Lonchura striata: one gene and its partner. The protein of the gene in region 1 interacts with the protein of each later gene in a biochemical or structural test. Links are inferred from orthologs where the notes say so. Each region holds a gene or a part of one and is shown in the gene's direction. Other genes may lie near its edges.

What was found.
Region 2: of the proteins of COIL (region 1) and VRK1, one has a biochemical effect on the other in vitro, tested with the Homo sapiens proteins (2 studies listed by BioGRID and IntAct, with this or other methods). The link is inferred for Lonchura striata from reciprocal best matches to the Homo sapiens genes COIL and VRK1.

Annotation. Positions count from the first base shown.
Region 1 is NC_134621.1:7,703,975-7,713,954, reverse strand, and holds the start of COIL (coilin), read left to right. Parts: upstream 1-6,036; 5' UTR 6,037-6,064; coding exon 6,065-6,312; intron 6,313-7,936; coding exon 7,937-9,110; intron 9,111-9,420; coding exon 9,421-9,507; intron 9,508-9,980. Other genes in the region: SCPEP1 (retinoid-inducible serine carboxypeptidase), read right to left, coding at 1,003-1,131, 1,315-1,352, 2,261-2,333, 2,538-2,612, 3,076-3,231, 3,926-4,015, 4,881-5,026, 5,914-5,965. UniProt on the Homo sapiens protein: Component of nuclear coiled bodies, also known as Cajal bodies or CBs, which are involved in the modification and assembly of nucleoplasmic snRNPs.
Region 2 is NC_134608.1:13,986,463-13,996,384, reverse strand, and holds the start of VRK1 (serine/threonine-protein kinase VRK1), read left to right. Parts: upstream 1-5,893; 5' UTR 5,894-5,979; intron 5,980-9,922. UniProt on the Homo sapiens protein: Serine/threonine kinase involved in the regulation of key cellular processes including the cell cycle, nuclear condensation, transcription regulation, and DNA damage response.

The DNA of each region.
Region 1 (9,980 bases):
CTTTTCTGGAACTGCTGACAGCTGGATGTGCCCAAGCACTGCAGATTGGCTGCCTGCATCCAAGGAGAAACATGAGTAGTGTTGCCATTACAGAAGTTACTCCAGATTCTTGAAGTCCTGCTTACTTGATTTTTGAGTTTTTAAAGTTCTGATGCTTAGGTCAGAAATCAGCTCACAACATCAACTGCAGAAGAACTGCAATGCCTTCACCTGCCAGCACCATAACAACTGAGAGGGGAAGCCAAGTAGATTTGAAAAGTAAAACAGGAACCAAAAGTTCCTTCTGAACAGCAAGAAGTGAAACCAGCTATGTGCAAGGCACTGTCAGTTATGAATCACAGAAGGAAAAAAACAAAAACAGAAAAACTCAAAAAAAACCACCCAAAAAAATTAAAAAAAGGAAGTGGCTCCAGATTAGCCTTTCTGTCCAAGAAAGTCAGAGCCTTATGTGTACTAAAGAATGAGATGCAACAATGAATTAGATTTGGGAGGAACCTTTTAACAGGAGAAACCAAAGCAAAACTTTACCAGTCTTTTATGCTGGAACTTTCTAAGTAACGAGATGCAATGACCCACAGTAACAGACCATAAACTCTAGGTTCCTTTCCATCCTGTGCACCTATTGTAGTTCTTCAAATAGAGATGTGTGCTTAACTTCAAGTTTTTATCTTGGTGGATGCAGTTTTCAGTACTCAAAGCTTTCCAGCAGATACGGTTTATTTAAATTGAAGCTGTGGAATCAAGAGGACTATTGTATGCTGAAACCTCAGTGCAATACTGGAAGACCACAAGGGCTGTCCTGCCCACTTTGCCTGTCACTCTGCCAGCAGGGCATAGCAAACACTCCTTTATATCAGCACTGGGATACAACAAATCCTGGCAAAAGTGACTAGGCAGAAGACTGAAAAATTCATGCCAGCTCAGCACTCATAGAAAGGGTAACTTGAAATCATGTGCCTCCCCAGGCAGCAGTTAATTCTTAATGTTAGTCAAAGATCCTACCTCTTCAATGACACTTTCAGCCTTGCCCCACAGCTCAGTAGCCAGCCCATATTGATTTTTATTTATTGCATCCATTATTTCTTTGGCAACAGCAGTCACCTCTGCTAGACCATTATCATCAAGGAGAGACTGGAAGACAAACACAAAGAAGGACAGCTTCAATTACAATTCCACATCCATTTACTGCTAACAGCCTCCATGCTTTTTAGGTTTTATTCAGGCCAAGAGGTAATCTTAAAATTCAACATCCATTTGTACTGTATGGCAGCACAAGGGATCAGGTGAGAACCAGGAGTTTAAGAAGGTACTTACAGTGCTGTAAAGGTAGGGCCCCCAGGACAGCACAGAGTCTAAACAAAGAACAGATTTCAAACATCAAACTGATAATCAGTTATTGATGTAAGATTTAACTGACTTCTCCTTTACTGGGGCAACAATGCTTATGAGAAAAATAAATGGAGATTACTTAATCAGTAAAAAGGTACAGTTAACCCTAAAGTTATGTACCGCAGAGCAAGTTCTTTACAAGTCCTGCAACATCATTAATCCCCTATGAGTTAACCAGTGAAATTTATTTAAAGCAACCAACACATTTTGACCAGTGTTCTCCCCCCAGCATTACAGCACATTGCCAAACATGGGTAGAGGTCTAACAAGAGGATGGGAATTATCTAAACTTATCTCTTTGTAAAGTCACAAGGTAAAAACTGAGCTATAAAACAAATCTGTTTTATAACAACTTTGTTTGTAATTCTCAAGGACCAGATGATGGCAGACAGATAAGAGTTTGCTTGGTATTTGTTCTGTGCTGCAGAGAATCTGTGAAGCCTGCCCTTGCCAATACCACTGAAGGACCACAAGCCCTTTAACTTGCTTTTTATCCTCACCAGACACAAATCTCACTTGCAGCCTCATGAATGGCTTGGTGGCCACATTTCAGCCAAAAACACCTCAGAGGCTGTGGAGATGTGTAGGAACATTTTACCATCCCCTCCACTTCAGATGCAAGTGTGTTCCTCGCTGACCTTCCTCTCTGACTTTTCCTAATCTAGATACATTCTAAAGAGAGATTCATCAGTCACAAGAAGACTTGCAAGGCTGTAGTATTTATTTTTGATTTACCAGACTCACTAGAGAGTTAATTCACTTAAGGCAGGGATGGCCTTTTTGACTTCAGGTACTCATGGAATGATTACAACACCCAACAAAACAAAATAACAACAACAAATCATCCACAGTCTGAGGAGTTTAAACATACCCAAAGGTGAAATCCACGAGTCTCCAAGAGCAGCGCCCATAAAATTGCACTTTATGGTCCCTTTTTGAACAGCCTTTGTGAATAAGAGGAAAACCAAAACAAAACACCAATAATTAAATTTTAGTTATTCGTGACTCTAGAAACAGTTCTCATTAAGTGAAAAAAGTAAGTAGCACTGTGAATTAGGCAATAGGGACAGTGTATTCCAGAAAATAAAAGTACCTGTAGAACCCCCTGTTTTGAAGTGAAAAGTGAACTTTATTCTTCAAGTACTTACATTGTGCAGCTCTAAAGCAACCCCAGCAGCCATTTTACCTCCATAAGATTCAGAAAATATGTAGAATGGGATGGTCTGGGGAGAGAAAAACCACACAAGGAACTTGTTGTGCGGAGGGCAGAAGATGCCTCCAATCATCTCCCAGATCCCATAGGACCCAGGCACTGGCTGTTCACCTCTCATCCTCAAACATTTAATGTTTTTCTTATTTTAAGCTGCACATTAGGTTTCCATAACATCCTGGTGATTTGCTGGGGTTGGTTCTGAAGCATTTTGGAACTATAAGCAGCTGTGATCCTGTATATGCTGCTCGGATAACTCAACAGACAGAACTCCACCCCAATGCTTATCTAACTAAACCCCAAAATCAAGATACAACTTCTGAAATGTGGAAAATAAGAGACAGTGGTTATATTTGCACCACACACTACCTAGCAGCAAAACACTGTTCATTTGGAAGTCTGTTCCCTAATTCTTTTTGAATTATATTTAAAAGCAGAGAAAAATACAACAATAAACAAGATTTCAATTCACTTACCTGGAATTCTGTTCTACCCTTGAAGAATTCTCCAAGAAAAACCATCATATCAGAAACTACTGCGGTAAGGTTTTGGGCAAACAAGCTACAATCATCCACATAACTGAATCCAGTGCCCACAGGATTATCCACAAACAAGATACTGGCTGCCTGCAACTGCAGAAGCAGAAAAGTTTGTATAAAACCTCAGTTCAGCACCAGCAAAAATCTTAGTTTTGATGGCACAAATGATTAACTGAGCCAGCAAATCCCTGGACCTGAAAAGACTTGCAGAAAAATTAGGTGCAACATAAAGGCCTTCAATTTGCCCAATCTGTAATGAGAAATACAGCCAAAAAAACTCCCAGTGATCCAGGGGCAGGTCACCTAGGGGAACTCCGAGTACTTCAGTCTATTGGTAACTCAGGGCACAGATATATTGCTCTAATTAAACTTCCACCTTCACAGGCAGCTGTCATTTGTTCTCCCTTGAAGGCCATACTGGACCTGTAATTATAAGCCATAGGTTTTACGCTGCCAGCCACCCAGAAAAAACTCTGTGACTGCACACAATGGAGCTGTGATTTGAAAGAACACTTTCTACAATTTCCCTGCTCTGTTTCCCATTTCACAGTTCCATGGAAGACCAGACATACTTTATCAAATCAAATTAATGTCTACCCCTCAGTTTTGAACAAGGCTATTCCTATCAGCTAACTTATTAACCACAATACTTTAACTTGAAATATTATAGTTCTACTGAACTTTAAATGAAAAACTGTTCCGTGCTTTTTTTGTGTAGTCATCATCTGCTCACACAAGCAAACAAACATTTGTAATTAGTAGTTAGAAGCTGAACTCTCTACTGTACCCAGGTTGTATTTCTTGGTTTCATTTCTTTGTCTAATGGACCAATCTCTTCAAAGTTCCCATATCCACAGCCTGAAGCTCCTGGACCTCCCTGCAGGGAAATATCAAATGACACAGATGTTAAAAGGCAGCATGGCACAGATATGACAGATGGAAGAAAAATACAAGACAGCCAGTAAGTAGAATGACAGATTGTAAATTTTTAGAAATGGTTTTTGCAGTACACATTAATTTGTAGAGCAGGATCTGTTCCTCATGGTCTTGGGCTATGCACACACATGCCATTTCTGAAAGCAAGAATTCAACAGAGAAGCAGTCACCCACTTGTGAGAGCTTCTGGTGAGCTGCCTGCTATTTGAGCACAGTTTCAAAACCTTATTCCCTGAATATGGAGTGCAAAAGCTAACTGCTAACTGGGACTTTGCAAGTCATTAGCTTAATCAGCATGTACAGCCTTTGGGTTTCACTCTGATGAAACAATCCAGAGAGAGTAAGAACAAGTCCTCAAGCGATTCTATTCAACATTAACTTCTGCAATGTACTGTAGAGAACACACCACCATTTTTATCAAACTGGGATTGTTTCCATTTAGAAATCATCCTCAATCTCTGGTTATTTTATTTCTCTCTCTGAATATTGTTTAGACTACAAACTCTTCAGGAAAGGAGCTGTGAAATTACAATGCACAAAAATCACTACTGTTGTATGAAAGATAAGAACAACTTCTGTTATTGCAATCAAACTTGATGGAAGGTGAGCAGTTGAGGACATCCCACAACTGCAGAATGAAACCACTCTCATTTTTCCCAACCCGAATACCTCATTCACAAGGCAAGGCATTTAGAACTAGGCAGTTTTGAATCCTGTTTCTGTAGAGCTGCACAATATCAGATATCAGACTGAACCAGGCACAGATGGAAAGAATTATTGCTTTGGTGTCTCTCGCCAAACCTTACCTGAAGCCACAAAACAAGAGGTAACTCTGTGAAGTCTTTGGTTGGGTTATTTGCATAGTAGAGCCACCAGAACATGTGGGCCTTGCTCCGAACATCCACATATCCCCACACCTCTTTGGGTTCTTGGGGCTGCCTCAGAACTACGCCTTGAGGGGAAACAATAACAATCAGCTAAGTAAAAAGGCTCAGCTTTGGACTTTCCACCAGAATCGTTCCAAAACATTACATTTCAATCTTGAGTGTGATAATTAGAAACGTTACTACTATTAAAGAAAATTATTATAAGAAATCTGCCTATACTTACACCCACACCCGAGTTATTGTCATGAAGTGTGTAATTAAGAGAGCTGCCGCCAGAATAACAGCCAAATCGCTGGAATGATTTGTTCTTGATGTGTTTTCAAGGCCTGGGCTGAAGGCACAGCCCCAGTGAAATAACTCCCATAACCAGCTGCAATTTCGATAAGTATCACAGAATATTCTGAGCTGAAAGGGACCAAAAAAACTGAGTCCAACCGTTTCGTGAACGGGCCGGGCGGGGATCGAACCCGGAGCCTTAGAGTTACTGGCCCCATGACCCGACAACCGAACTCATCCCAGCACTTGGATGTGCGGGGACCGCACCGCTTCACAGCCCCCAAGGAGAGCAGATGCAGGCAGACAGAGGGTCACTTCTAAAGGAATCCAAAACAGAATTTCAGTCGGTAAAGTCTGGTCACCTTACGCAGTCAGTCTACTGCCCATCTCGGGCACGGAACAGACCTTTGACACTCCATCACTTAATCTCAATGATCAGGGCAAAAGGCAACAGCGCAATGGAGCAGGAGCAGTAGGGCTTTTCCAAGCCAAGGAGGCTTTGCTGCTCCCGCCGGGACTGCCACTACCCTCTCCGTCCCGCCCGGCCGCCACCCCGGCAAGCGGAATTTCGCGCGGTTCATCCCGGGCCCTGCCCGGCAGCGGCTGCGGGACACAGGAGCGCTTTGCTCGGAGCCCCGTGCCCAGAGGCCCCGCTCCCGTCCCGCCCGGCCCGTACCTGCCGCCAGCAGCAGCACGTACAGCGCGGTCCCGGCCCGCAGCGGCCCCATCGCTCCCGCAGCTCCCGCGGTCACGGGACCGGCCCGCCCGCCCTGCGGCCCCGCCCCGCCCCGCCCCGCCTCTTCCTCCTCCTCCTCCTCCATCTCACGATGGCGGCCGGCGGCGGCCCGCTGCGGCTGCGGCTGGTGTTCGACCACCCTCCGCCGGCCAGCCCGGGCTGCGCGCTGTGCTGGCTGCTGCTGGAGCCGGGCCAGGCGCGGCTCGTCACGGACCTGCTCAGCCTCATCCGCCATCGCTTCGGCTTCAGCCGCCGCGCCCGCCTCAGCCTCTTCCTCGAGGGGGCGCTGCTGCCGCCCGCCGAGAGCGCGCGCCTCGTGCGGGACAACGACTCGCTGAGGTGCGGACCGGACCGGACCGGGACAGGGACCGGGACCGGGACAGGGACCGGGACAGGGATGGGGACCGGGACAGGGACAGGGATGGGGACAGGGACCGGGACAGGGACCGGGACAGGGACCGGGACAGGGATGGGGACCGGGACAGGGACAGGGATGGGGACAGGGACCGGGACAGGGACCGGGACCGGGACCGGGACAGGGACCGGGACAGGGACAGGGACAGGGACAGGGACAGGGACCGGGACCGGGACAGGGACCGGGACAGGGACAGGGACAGGGACCGGGACAGGGACCGGGACAGGGACCGGGACCGGGACCGGAACAGGGACAGGGACAGGGACAGGGACCGGGACAGGGACCGGGACCGGGACAGGAACAGGGACAGGGACAGGGACAGGGACCGGGACAGGGACCGGGACAGGGACCGGGACCGGGACCGGAACAGGGACAGGGACAGGGACCGGGACAGGGACCGGGACCGGGACAGGGACCGGGACAGGGACAGGGACAGGGACAGGGACCGGGACAGGGACCGGGACAGGGACAGGGACCGGGACCGGAACAGGGACAGGGACAGGGACCGGAACAGGGACAGGGACAGGGACCGGGACAGGGACCGGGACCGGGACAGGAACAGGGACAGGGACAGGGACCGGGACAGGGACAGGGACAGGGACCGGGACAGGGACCGGACCGGGACAGGGACCGGGACCGGGACAGGGACCGGGACAGGGACCGGAACCTGGACAGGGACCGGGACAGGGACAGGGACAGGGACAGGGACCGGGACAGGGACCGGGACAGGGACCGGGACAGGGACAGGGACAGGGACCGGGACAGGGACCGGGGCTGCGGGATCGGACAGAGAGAGCGGGATAGGGACAGTGGGACCTGTATAGGGATAGCGGGATACGGAGCGGGACAGCGGGGTCGGACAGAGAGCGGGACCGGGACCGGGATCAGGACAGCGGGATCGGCGGTCGGTCCCACTCACACCTCATCAGTGTCTGTCAGCGGTGCCAAGAGGCCGGAGCGGGTTCTGCCCGGTGGTGCGAGCCGTGGGACGAAAGGCAGCGGGCAGGAGCTGATGCCCAGGAAGTTCCACCTGACCGGGAGGAAGAGCTGCTTCCCTGTGCTGGGACAGAGAGGATGTGGAGTTTCCCTCACTGGGGATATTCCAGAGCCCTCTGGACACAGCCCTGTGCTCTGGGATGACTCTGCTTAGGCAGGGAGGTGGGACCAGATGACCCCACTGTGGTCCCTTCCAGCCTGACCCATTCTGGGATTCAGTGAATCTCCACGTGGTTTTGGTGGGACGGGGATGGAACTTCCCCGGGGGTCTGAGCTCTTCCTTCCCTGGGCAGTGGAGTGGGAGCGGGGTGCCCATGGGCACTGACTCCCAGTGCCTGAGACACCTCAGGATGTCCAAAAGGATGGAGGGAGCCGAGCAGTTGGAAATGTTCCTGAAGATGGAAAGGGAGCCTGTGCCTGCAGGGGAGGGTTCTGGACTGTCCAGGGAAGAGCTGGAGCATCTCCACTCTAGGGGAACTTGCCTGAGCTGCTCACGTGTGGGGAAAAGTGTTCATTATGCTGAACGGTGGCTTTTGTTTGTTTTTTTAACAGAGTAAAATTGGAAGAGATAGTTGCAGATGATTATGAAGAGATAGATGATGGCTTTAGTTACACAACAAAAGAAGACAAAAAAAGGCACAGACATAAGGAGGATGAGGAAGAATTGTCTAGGAATGAAGGCAAGCATAAAAGGAAAAAGAAAAAGGAGAAGCGTAAACTTGAGTATTCCTCTTGTAGGGAAGAGACCTCTATAGATACTTGGGACTCTCAGAAAAGGTACACGAAAAGAAAAAGAAAGGAAGAAGTTAGGGGAAGAAATATGCTTGCAGAAGGTAAGGAAGAGAGCTCTACTTCCCATTCTAAAAAGATGAAAAAAACAGAGAGGGAGAAGCAGTTGGCAACAAAAAAGAAGGATGAAAATCAGACAAAGGTTGCTGCAGCAAAGATGTCTTTAGAACAGGCAAATGAGAGTTTTTCTCTAAATTCTGGTAAAAATAGCACCAAAAAGATCACAACACAGTCCAGGAAAAAGAGGGTGGGAGCTTCAGATTCATCCAGCACATCGTCTGACAGTGACAGCAGTGAATTAAATATAAAGGAAAATAAATCTTCCCATAAACCTGTAGTGGTGACACTTCCCAAAGACAAATCCCAAGCTGCTTCAGATTCTCATGTGAAAACTAATAAAGTGACTGTAAAGTCTAACACTGAAAAGACTAAGACTGCAATTAGTAAAAATGCTAAAAAACCCCGGTCTTCTAGTTCAGATTCTGACTCGAGTACAGAGGATGAGACGGTGACACCAGCACAAGACAGCACCGCAAAGGAAAAATCGGTGCCAAACCATGTGGTGGCTGTAAAAGCCAGCACCAAAGCTCCCAAAGCACAGAGCTTCTCTTCAGACTCTGATAGTTCAGATTCAGACACACTTGTCATTAAAAAGTCTGCAGCAGCGTGTGCTGGACTGTGTAATTCCGTAGTAACGAGGTGCATTAAACAGTTGCCAGCCAGAGTCCAAGGACCGTTTGCCTGCCCCAGCCGTGGAAGGGGGCGTGGAACAGGAGAGGATAACTTCTGGAGAGGACCTAGGGGCCGTGGGTTTCGTGGGATGATGAGGGGCCATGGGAGAGGAGCAAACCCTGGCTTCTTCTATAACTACAGCAGTGAAGGCCAGAAACAGAGGCAGTTAAATGAAGCTGCGACAAACACTTCTGTCCTTGTCCAGGTGAGTGACTGACACAGGCAGAGGTCACCTTTCTCTGGCAGCTTGATGAGAGTATATATAGGATGAGAGTAACTCATAACAGCAGAAATAGCTTAGTGGGATAAAGGCTGATCTTTTATTTACTGTAATTCAGTTTGTCAGCCTGAGGATGTGTTTGTGAAACAGCAATAAAGTGATTGTATTCTATATCTAAAAACAAAGCATGTACCTTGCTCTTCTCAGTGATTCTTGCAATCCAAACAGCATGAACATTGTCTTCTGTTTTCACTGATACAGTAATTAAATCAGTGGGTTACTCTTTGTTTCACAGAATCCCATGGAGATTCCCAAGAGAGACTATAGTGTGTTACCTCTTCTAGCTGCTCCACCCCGAGTGGGAGAAAGAATTGCCTTTAAGGTAAACTCTGGAAATGCTAAATGTTAGTAGGTTAAAATTGCTTCATTTGTGCCACTCTTTAAGTTTCTGACCTAACTTGTTTCTTTAAAAATTTCACTTGTTGTAAAGCCTGGCTTAAAGATTTTTGACAAAGTTTGGAATATATACAGAAGTTAAGTGCATTTCTTCAGACTTTCTTTATTTGTAGAACACAAGAAATGCTGTCTCTGTTGTCATTTCAATGTAATTTTCCATGTAAATATTATTGGAAATCTTACCATACAAATAATTACACTGCACTGCAAAATAAAAAAGTAAATAGAAATGAAATCCTGGCAGTTGAGGAGACTGGGATCCATCTCCCTGATCCCTCACACAGCCTGACCTGAATGTAAATCCTTTAGAACAGCAAGTCCTAGAAGTCTACCTGGGACCATAATTGGCATTGGGTTCCAGGAGTAGAGACTTGGCTCTTGCACTTTCTGTTGCTGAAG
Region 2 (9,922 bases), on another chromosome or scaffold:
GGGGTTGTCTCAGACGAATATCAACATCAGCCCAAGTCTCTCCTTGGCATCCCCTTTCTCCTCTGATTGTTTCTCTAAATCTTTTGCTGTAAGCCTAAAAGCAAAAAAGTTCACTGTACAATTGGTTCCAATTAAGAAAATTAAAGCTATATATTTGTGAGCAAAAATAAAAATGACACAGACAACATTTAAACATTTAAAGCACAAGAATAGTGAATGGGCAGGCAGTTATATTGATTCTTGACAATCTACATTATGTGACACATTTCCAGGGTAAATGCATTAGCAGTTCAATGTTTCTTTAATTTTTGCACAGAAGCATCATTTTTTTTGTCAGATCACATTTTGTAACACAATATCAATCTTGCTATACCCATGGTCTAGACGGGCTGTAGGGATTCTGCTGTAATTATGTCAAAAAATGAAATATTCCAAAATCTGACTGACAGCTTGATTACAGTAATGCATGTGACTAAATTCAGGGTGTGCTGGTGTAACGAAAGAGGGAATTGTCAGTGGTAATCAACTGTATTTTTGTTAAATTTTGTGGAGCATTTCTTGCTCTTAGGTTGGAGTACATTGAAACCAATGAGACACCTAGTGGTAGCAGTTTTTTAGAGTTTCGTAGTGCCATTAGAGATTGGGGAAAACCAGTTCTTATGCAAATAATGTATTTTGTTACACGTCATGTAAATATGTTGTAGATTAGCATGGTCATGAACACCAACACTATGCAGTACAGTGGCATAACAGGAAGGATTCCATTCTACTCTCAAGTACAGAATAGCAGTTCTGTAAGTACTTTTTCTTCTCCAGACAGATATTTCTGTATAAAAAAAAGCTTGCCAGAAGACAGGCAAGTACGAATTATAATGATTTGCAGCGTTTTGTTTTTAATTTTCATTGTATTACTTCTCATTCCAAGGAAACAGTCAATGACTTCTGCTCCTTTTACTTCCTCAAAGAAAGTTTGTATGAGACAATTAATTCACCAAAAAAACTATTCATATGAATATGGATTAACTTTTGATATTAAAAAAGGATGAAATGTGCTAATTTTCATTAGCTTTTTGTTTTTTTTTTTTTTTTTTCTCTGAACAATGGACTCCTCAGGCAAAAACTGCTGTCTCTAATCTTACAAAAGATTTCAGGTGTTTTAGCATGTAGTTTATAAGTAAAAATATTAACTAAATGATAAATTTTTAGTGCTCCATCTCATGAAACTGATGGATAAATGCAGATATTATTACCTAGATTTGAATAATTCAAGGTGCCACACAGTATAATTGACTCAAAACTGTGTTCCTTCATGGGTCTGCTGATATCTGCTAACCTGAATATTTTGCCTGCACGTCTCTTCCACAAGTTTTCCTGTCCTTTCAAAAGTCTCCCTTACAACTGCAAAATCCATTCCAGGCCAATATTCTTCCCTTGACCCAGATTTTATTCCCTTTTAACAGTCTGTAACCACTGACTTGTCAGAAACCAGGTTATCTATATTTGTTCTATTTTGGGGAGTGAGGAGACAGGATAGAACAACTAACAAGGCTTTTGAATTTATTTGGTATTTACTGACTGTAATATCTTTGAACAAATGCTATGTTTTCCTCTGTATCTGGGTAGCATTCAGTAAACTTTCCTTCTTGGCAAGGTGTAGTTGGTAAAAATATACAAATAAGATGAAATATAATAAAGTGAAAGATGAAAAAATATATAAAGCTGGCATACTCATTTATTTTCTATGAAAATAATTGAAGAGATTGCTAAAGTAAAAAGTACATAGTGATTCTTTCTTTTTCCCAACACACAAATATATTTTCAAAAAGTGTGCAGAAATATGCTACTTTTTCTATTTTTAAGCAAAAGAGTTAATACTGCATTGTTTAAAAATCCGCTGTAGAAAACATATGACAGCTTGGTGACCTTGGAAGTGATAGTGATGTCTTTAAGCAGCGGGAAATATGGAGCTGTAGATAGGGAGTACAAGGCACAGAGCTCTCCCTGTTTGAATAAAAAGAGGGTTTTAAAAAATATAACCTCATTCTTTTGTGCATTTTTCTAGAGTCAAATCACCTTAAGAAATCACTATTTGATCAGGAAGTCCACAGCTAAGTATAAGCTCACCTGATTCAAGAGATTTATATCCTCTGAGCTACAAAGAATAGCAAATAATAAGTTTATAGAATTCTGGTTTCTTATTTAAATAGCATATAGTGACAACACTACTATTTAGCAGAGAAGTGTTTGGAGGTATGCTAATGACCACAAGAAAATTTCAAACCTCCATAATGTGCTTTAATCACCAGCTGGAGATCAAAAGCCACCATGTGATTTTATACAGCATGGGCAGCTTCCAGAACTGCCTTACATGGAAAGAGATCAATGGTAAAATTGGTAGATACAGCAAAGCTTTGCAATAAAAGCGTTTTATGTATCTTGTTCAAAGTATTTAAGTGCCTTTTAGATCACTGATTGAACCATAGACATTATAAAGTGGAACCTTTTAATACCAAAATAAATTTGCAGAGTAAAATTCCATTACAGGAAAAAGCATTGCACTGCAACAGGACAGATAATAATTCTTTCACATGTAATGGAATATAAGAAATGTTTGATGATAAACAGAAGTTCTTTGCATCGTTACAGCTGGATCCTATGCACTGCTGTTTGTGTGCATGTGAGTGAATCTACTGTGTAGGATATACAGTGCCCCCAGATAAAATGCATTTCTACCTATAAATATAACTTTAACTGGGATGGGGGGAGACACTTCACAGTCAAGACAATTCAGTCATTTAAGTCAAGAAAAACTGCCTATGCATATGAGTTTGGACCTTGACCAAAGAAAACATAGAATGCTTTAGAAACTCATAGAAGTCCTTTAATTTGGATTAATTTAATGCACTTCAAACAAGCTCTCATCTTAGAAGCTTCAACTTATTTAAAATTATTTCCTTTAACAGCTTCAAATCATGTGTCTGTTAGCATCACAAAACTACCAGGAAAAAAGTGAAACTTCCAATGGATCTCTCTGTGTAGCTTTTCTTTCACAGTGTTTTCATCAATTCTTCTAATACTTCATCCCCTTTCTATTGAATTATTGGGTACTCTGTAGAGATTGGATGTCTTCTACCCCATATTCCATTCCTCTCTTTAACAAATTAACTATTCTGGGAATGAAAACAGATGATATTTTAAAAGAGCTGCAAGATATAAAAATATTTTTCCTGCCTCAGCATCTTAATTTTGAATTTTAAATGTTTTGAAAAGTACAATTAATGATGTCCTTTTAATTCATAATATAGAATTAAGAGTCAAGCAAACCAGGTCTTACTTTGAGATTTGTTCCTAATTTTTTATACTTCAAGCTAAACAAACTTTACTCAGCACCTCTGTGTCTGATTCTTAATTTGTAATACGGGGTAAATATTTATTTTGCTGAAGTGATTCTTTATTACATTCTTTAGGAAATTGACCTTAACAAAGGCCAATATTTTACCTCCCTTTGGTGAGGAAAACTTAGATGATGTCCTTATCTCATGGGGAACTTTTTAGACAGATATGCATTAACTTCACTGAGTAAATAAATACTGATTCATCAAATTGATTAAGTATTCAAAATAACAGTTTCTTATTCACTGCATTCTGAAGGAATTAAAAAACATAAATTTATATTCCTTCCCAAAAATACAAAAATTAGCTTAAACTTGTAAAGACACCTGGAAAGATTGGCAAAACCAGTTTTGTTCCTATCTACCTTTTAACAGCACTTGGACATAACTGGACGTTGTACTGGTCTCCTAAAATACACACAAGCTCAGAGGTTACTGGGTAAATCAGTTTAAATTCTTTCGAAATGTATATTAATGGATAAACAAGACAACTCTGGAGTGCCACACTGATATTCTTAGAGAATAGTGATTACTCTTTTAAAGCTTAATAAAAGCCCATTAGATGAAAAAAGCCACAGCCTTAATTGAATTTATACAACCACTTTCCTGTGAGGAAAATAGCATGAAATGTGAATGGGAGGACAAAAAGTAAGTTTGCAGTGAATACATTTTTCCCTTAGTGTCAGTATATTCCCACTGCAGGATGATAATGGGGATATGATGGGAAGTATAATTCCTTGTACACCAGAGCAGGTGGTGTGCAGTGGGTGCATGGCAACAAAAGATACTGAATCAAAAACTTGCTCCTTGGAAAGTGATCATACCACTGCTCTTTTTCAGACTATTTATGGACTCTGACCATAAGTTTTTTAGCAAAATCTTCTGTGGTCCAGTAACTCGTGAGTTCTGCAATTTGAAGAAAATACTGAGATGATTTTTTGCTACAGTAACCTTAAGCTCTACTTCCATGTGTGGTCCTCAGCCCCCAGTTAGGACAGCTGAGTGTAGTGCATGTGTACCCTTTTATCAAGTATCCGTGGTGGCACAGTCTCTCCATTCATTTTGGAACTGTTTACTAATTTGTTTTTGTGGTTTTAATGCTTTGTGCATGTCATTGTATGGCATGGTGTTTTAGCAATGTATATGCATTTTTCTTCTCATTTTGCAAAGCAGAAAAATAAAGAAGATTGCAGAAAGAGAACATATATTGGAATTATAAGACATTTAATTCTATAATTTTTCAGAGAACGGAAATGTGAAGAACATAATTTACTTTAGACCTTGAGTACTACATTCTATTAAACTAAAATGTGATTAATATGTAAAAGTGGAATATTTTTATTAAATTTATCATTTAATTTTCCTCTAGCAGCATCTTAAAATGGTTTCATGATCCCAGTAATTCAATACCAGAGTGGATGGTACTGCAAGTGAAATGCTACCATGGGTGGTAGTGTTCTTCACTTAGTTCAAACAAACTTTTGGTCTTTCCTATAACAGGAGTACCCTAGAACATACAGAACAGCTCAGATTCTTGAACATCTCTAGTAGCACTTAGTATTTCAAAAATACAAATCTAGTATTCTTAATGTAACCCAGGTGGTCAAGGAAATCTATTGTCATGATGAACATACCACAGAATGACAGTTCTTTGTTTGAGGCTGTTTAGTACCTCTAAAACTGCAGCATGTGAGGATGGTGGCCATGAAATCATAATGCCCTTTTAATGGTTTGAAACACCCAGTAAATCAACAAAACAAATGCATTGTCCTTTTATTTTCTTGCCTCATCCCCTAAATTCCCTGGTTTGCCAGGGAATAGGAAATCTTTTGTCTTCTGCTCCCCTCTCTGACTTCACAGCTCGGCAGAATCAGGGGTGGATGCGCGGACATTTGTACCTGACTATGAGAGGAGGAGGAATCACCGTCCCTGGCGGAGGTTAAGGAAAGGTTGGACTTAGTGCCCTGGTCTAGTTCACCTGCTGGTGTTCGATCATAGGCTGGATTCGACGATCTTTCCTAACCTAACTGATCCTGTGGTATCAGCTTGAGAAAGGCCTTCCCAAACTTACCACAGCGTAGAAACCAAGGTTTCCTGTAACTCTCAAAACTGTTTCACTGAAAAGAGCTGTGAAGCACCAGAACAGGCTGCCCAAGGCAGTGGTGGAGTCACCACCCCTGGAAATGTTCCACACGCATGGATGTGGATTTCAGGCACGGTTTTGCAGTGAACACGGGTGTTAAAGCTCTTCTCCAACCCAACCGACTGCAGGACCGCAAACAACTTCAGCTCCTGAGCGATCTCGGGCCGCGGTGCCTCTTGGGAAGTGTGGTTCGTGTCGAGCCTCCTGCGGCTACTTTCTACAGCTATGGACTACACTTCCCAGCAGGCATCGCGACAAGGGCGGGACGGAGGCGGCGGGCAGCGCTCGGCGGACCAATGAGCGCGGGCGGTGCTGGGAGGTGGCGGCGGGGCGGGCGGGCCGCCCGGGGCCGCGGGCAGTGCGGGAATTTCGGAGCGGGAGGAAGGAGCGGCCGGGCCGCTGGCGCAGGAGGTGCTTGGAGCCGGCGGCTGCCTCTGGGTGCAGGTGTTTGCTTTTTTTTTTTTTTTTAAGGAGGCGAATTTTAGGGCACTGTTTCGCCGTGCCGAGCATCCCCGGCCCTTGTGGCGGATTGCGGGCGGTTTTCCCCCTTCCGTCGCGGAGGAGGCCGGTGCTACCGCGGGGCCCGCCCGAGCCTTGTTCCTCCCCGGGGGCAGGGAAGGCCCCTTCCTCTTCCCTTCCCCTTCCCTCCCCTTCCCTTCCCTCCCTCTCCCGGCCCAAGCCGTGGCCGGCGGGGGGGAACAGGGGCAGTGGGGCAGCGCTCCCACAGTTTCACCCGTGAGGTCTGGGGACCCGCCGATCCCTGCTGTGGGCTCTAAAGCGGCCTTAGGCAGCGGCCTATGTTGTTTTACTTCCCGTTTTTTTGTTTTTTTTTTTTTTTTTTTTTAGCACTAAAGCTTGGAGGAGGAGGCTGAATAAAAGCTGTGCTCTGTGTCACTTTAGAGGTTCGTCACTTTCGGGACTGTCTCGGTGTGGCAGCACCTTGGCTGGGAGGTGTGCCTAAATTTTGCTTTAAAGTAATTTTTTTTTCATACACACCTACAAATCACAAACAACTGTAATTTTAGGATCAGGGAAGGCCTGGTGTGTAAGAATTGAGCTAAGTTAGTTTCTGTCATTGGTTATGGTTTTTCTTAACTTTCTACTTCTTGCAATTTGACTTCCCTGTGTAAGACTTCAGCAGTTGCAGACAGGGTGAGCTCTGTTGTTCTCTTTGGTTTTCAATTTATGCTTAAGCACTCTAAGAACTGTAGGCTTTTATTAATTTATGGGGAATCCATGGATCCTTTTTATGGCTAAGAAAAATATAAAAGCTGTTGTGAAGCTTCCTGTAACTATTACTGTGTCAAAGGGCTTGTGCTATCATCTGAAGGAATAAGCTGTCCACTAAATTCTTGGGGGTAAATCTCTAAGTGAGGTAGGATTCCTGATGAATTTCAGAGCTGATGATTTTTATACAGTGTGCTAAATTATCAAAAAGCCTTTAAGTGTCTCACTCACATATGTTAGGTATTTGCAGTTGGTGTAGGGGTGAGGTGATTTGGAGTGATATGATTTGGTATCTTACAATGATCACTGTTTTTTATTGCAACAACTGAGTGATGATTAAAATTTTCAGGAGAACCTTAAATAACCTTAAAAGAAACTTTAAGAAAAGTAATGTTTTCTTGAGAAAGCAATTTAAAATTAGTAGCACAGTAGTTCCACTTGTAAATGACTGTTTCCTACCTGTGAACAAGCTGCATTCTGAAATACTATGTTATCTTGGTTTATTCAGCAAAAAAAGGAAAAAAAGGCATTTCCTTGGTCAACTGTGGTGCTGTTGTGGTTACATATTTCTCAGTAATTGTGGCCCACCAATGGCATTTATTTGTCTAAAAATACTTTTTTTCTTTGGGGCAGAACTGTAGTGCTTCCTCTTCTGTGAGTGCCATAAACTGTTCAGTATCTTAATCAGGAACTTAGATTGGAGAGGTTTTCACAGAGAGTCAAGGAATGTTTGATTTATGCAAGAAAGTCTTTGTTCACTGTTCACCTCACTTGGTTTGACAAGTCACCAACACATCAGTTATTTTTTGGGTTGCCCCTCCCATGAAACAGCTCTACAGTTTTCAGGAATCTTTAAGTGTCATATTCTTTCTACCCTACTCATTGAGAAAAAGTTTAGTTTTGTTTTCTCCTTGTCTTAATTTTTTTTTTTTTAGGCAGATGTGGATTTCTTGCTTTGACTAACGACCAATTTAATGGTGCATAGATTTCAGGTCTTGCTGGAGCTACCTGCTCATCTGGGAGCACAGCATGCCTTCACCAGCATGCCTTCTCTGGGTTGACAATGAAAATATGTCCTACTAAGATAAACAACTGTAAAAATTACAGTTTCCAGAGAATAAAAGAGGATGATCAGGAAGCAACCAGTTTGACTTGACACACAGCAGAAATTCCTTCAAAATAAAATTTCTTTCAGAGTTTTGTCTATAATGAATGGCAACAAGACTTGAGAAGTGGCTATTCATATTTATTCTAAGAGGTCAAGTATTGCTTAAGTAGCAATAGTAGCAGGCAACATTTGTAAAGATAACACCACTGATATGCAGACAATTTTACATGTGTAGTGCTATTTCAAGTACAGTGTATTCTGTTTCTTCCAAGATGTTTTATTAGGAAGAAGCCTTTGTAGTACTGAGAGGCTTCTGGAGAGAGTTTAGACAAATAGACTTCTGTTATTCATACTTTTTAGTAGGAAAATCTTTGTTTTGAGCACATTTTAGCAACAGAAACTGCTGCTGTTTACAATCATGCACCTTGAATATTGTTCTTGTCAGGCACCTTAGCTAAGTAGGGTCAGGTCTGACACTTGAATGATAGTACAGTACTTGACATCCATGGCACTGTTTTCAAGGACTTTAGCATGATTGCAGGAACTAATGAATTAAACTTCACAATACCTGTGGATGGAAAATACTTCCTTTGTTGATGAAAAGAAGTCTTGAGAGGAAAGTTTAAGGTTTTTTTTTTTTCTTTTTGGAGGGATGGTGGTGGTGAATTTTTAAAAGTGATTTTAGGGAGAAGTAGATGGCTTTATTCCAGTTCTGCAGTGTAGAGTAGACAGCTCTATGTCATGTTTGTTGGTGCAAAAGTTTTCTGACAAACCCCTTGTGTTTGCTGTATTATGATTTGAAAAGCATATAGAATGATAGAATTTGTAGTAATTTTAATTGCCTTTTTAAATTTTTTTATTGTGTTTTTTTTTCTAGTTCTGTCTTTTCATGTAGAAAATTTCTGTGGTGTCCAAGTGTCTTTGGTGTCAATCAGTAGAAGATATTTGAATGGATTTATCCAAATAAATGTGAAAGCATGTGCAGCCATTGCTTAAATATTTCCTTGGCTAACAGCTTTTTTGCAAGAGATTGAGTGCTTAGTATTGTGCATGCTGCCCATTGCAAGCGATCAGTGTTTGGCACCTATGGCCTACTGATAGTTTGACCAACTTGTAAGTAGGCACAGTGCCATGTTAACAGATGGGTATGAATACAGACAGCCAAGAAACCATGTATGTGTATCCAGTGTATTTGTTAAGGGCAGGGTTCCCAGCTGGGGACATTCAAACTTATGTCCATTTTGAATTTTTGCTTTTATGGATAAAGGGAAGTTGTCATTAACAATTTTTTATTTAAATAAATACCTTCAGGCATACAATTATTGACCATGTTAAACAAAATAAGAAGGGGTGTGGAGGAAGAGGGAAGCATCAGCTCTTCCTTTGATACTCTTGAGGAGCTATTTTAACTAAATTTAATTCCTTTTCAAGCAAGGCTGCTATCGAGAGTCTCACTGTGAATGTCAAAGATGTGCAATGTATCAATAGGTTTGTTTCACAGGCTTGCTAGCCTTATTGTAAGAGAGGCTACAAATTTTTCTTTTGTGGGCAACAATCTGTCCAGCATTCAAGCACTTAAGTGCATTTGTTCAAGTCTTGCCTGAATTATTTGTAATAACTCAGAGGTCAAGGAGGGGAGGTTCTTCAAGCCCTCTGCATAGTTCTTATATTAACAATAAATTGTTTCTTAGCTTGACGACAAGTATGCTTATTTTGGATATATTTTGGTATCCTTTAGATGGCAGTGTGTGTGATCTTGTCACACATCTGAGTCACTGGGCAATGCTGCTGATTTTCACACTATCTTGCCTTATCTGAGTCAGCTTTGGGGCTCTAGACTTCTGGTGTATTTCATTAGCACTTCTAATAGTTTCAGTCTGCCCTTTGTTTTAATCCATTTCCGGATTTAGATGTCCTGTGAAGCTGCTTAAGGGTCTGCAGTGATCTTTCTGGCCTGCTCTTGTAAGTGATATCAACATGTAGGCTTTTCTACTGCTCTGTTCCTTCTGACACTTTGACACCATTGCATTCTCATTGGTTTGGTCTTATCTG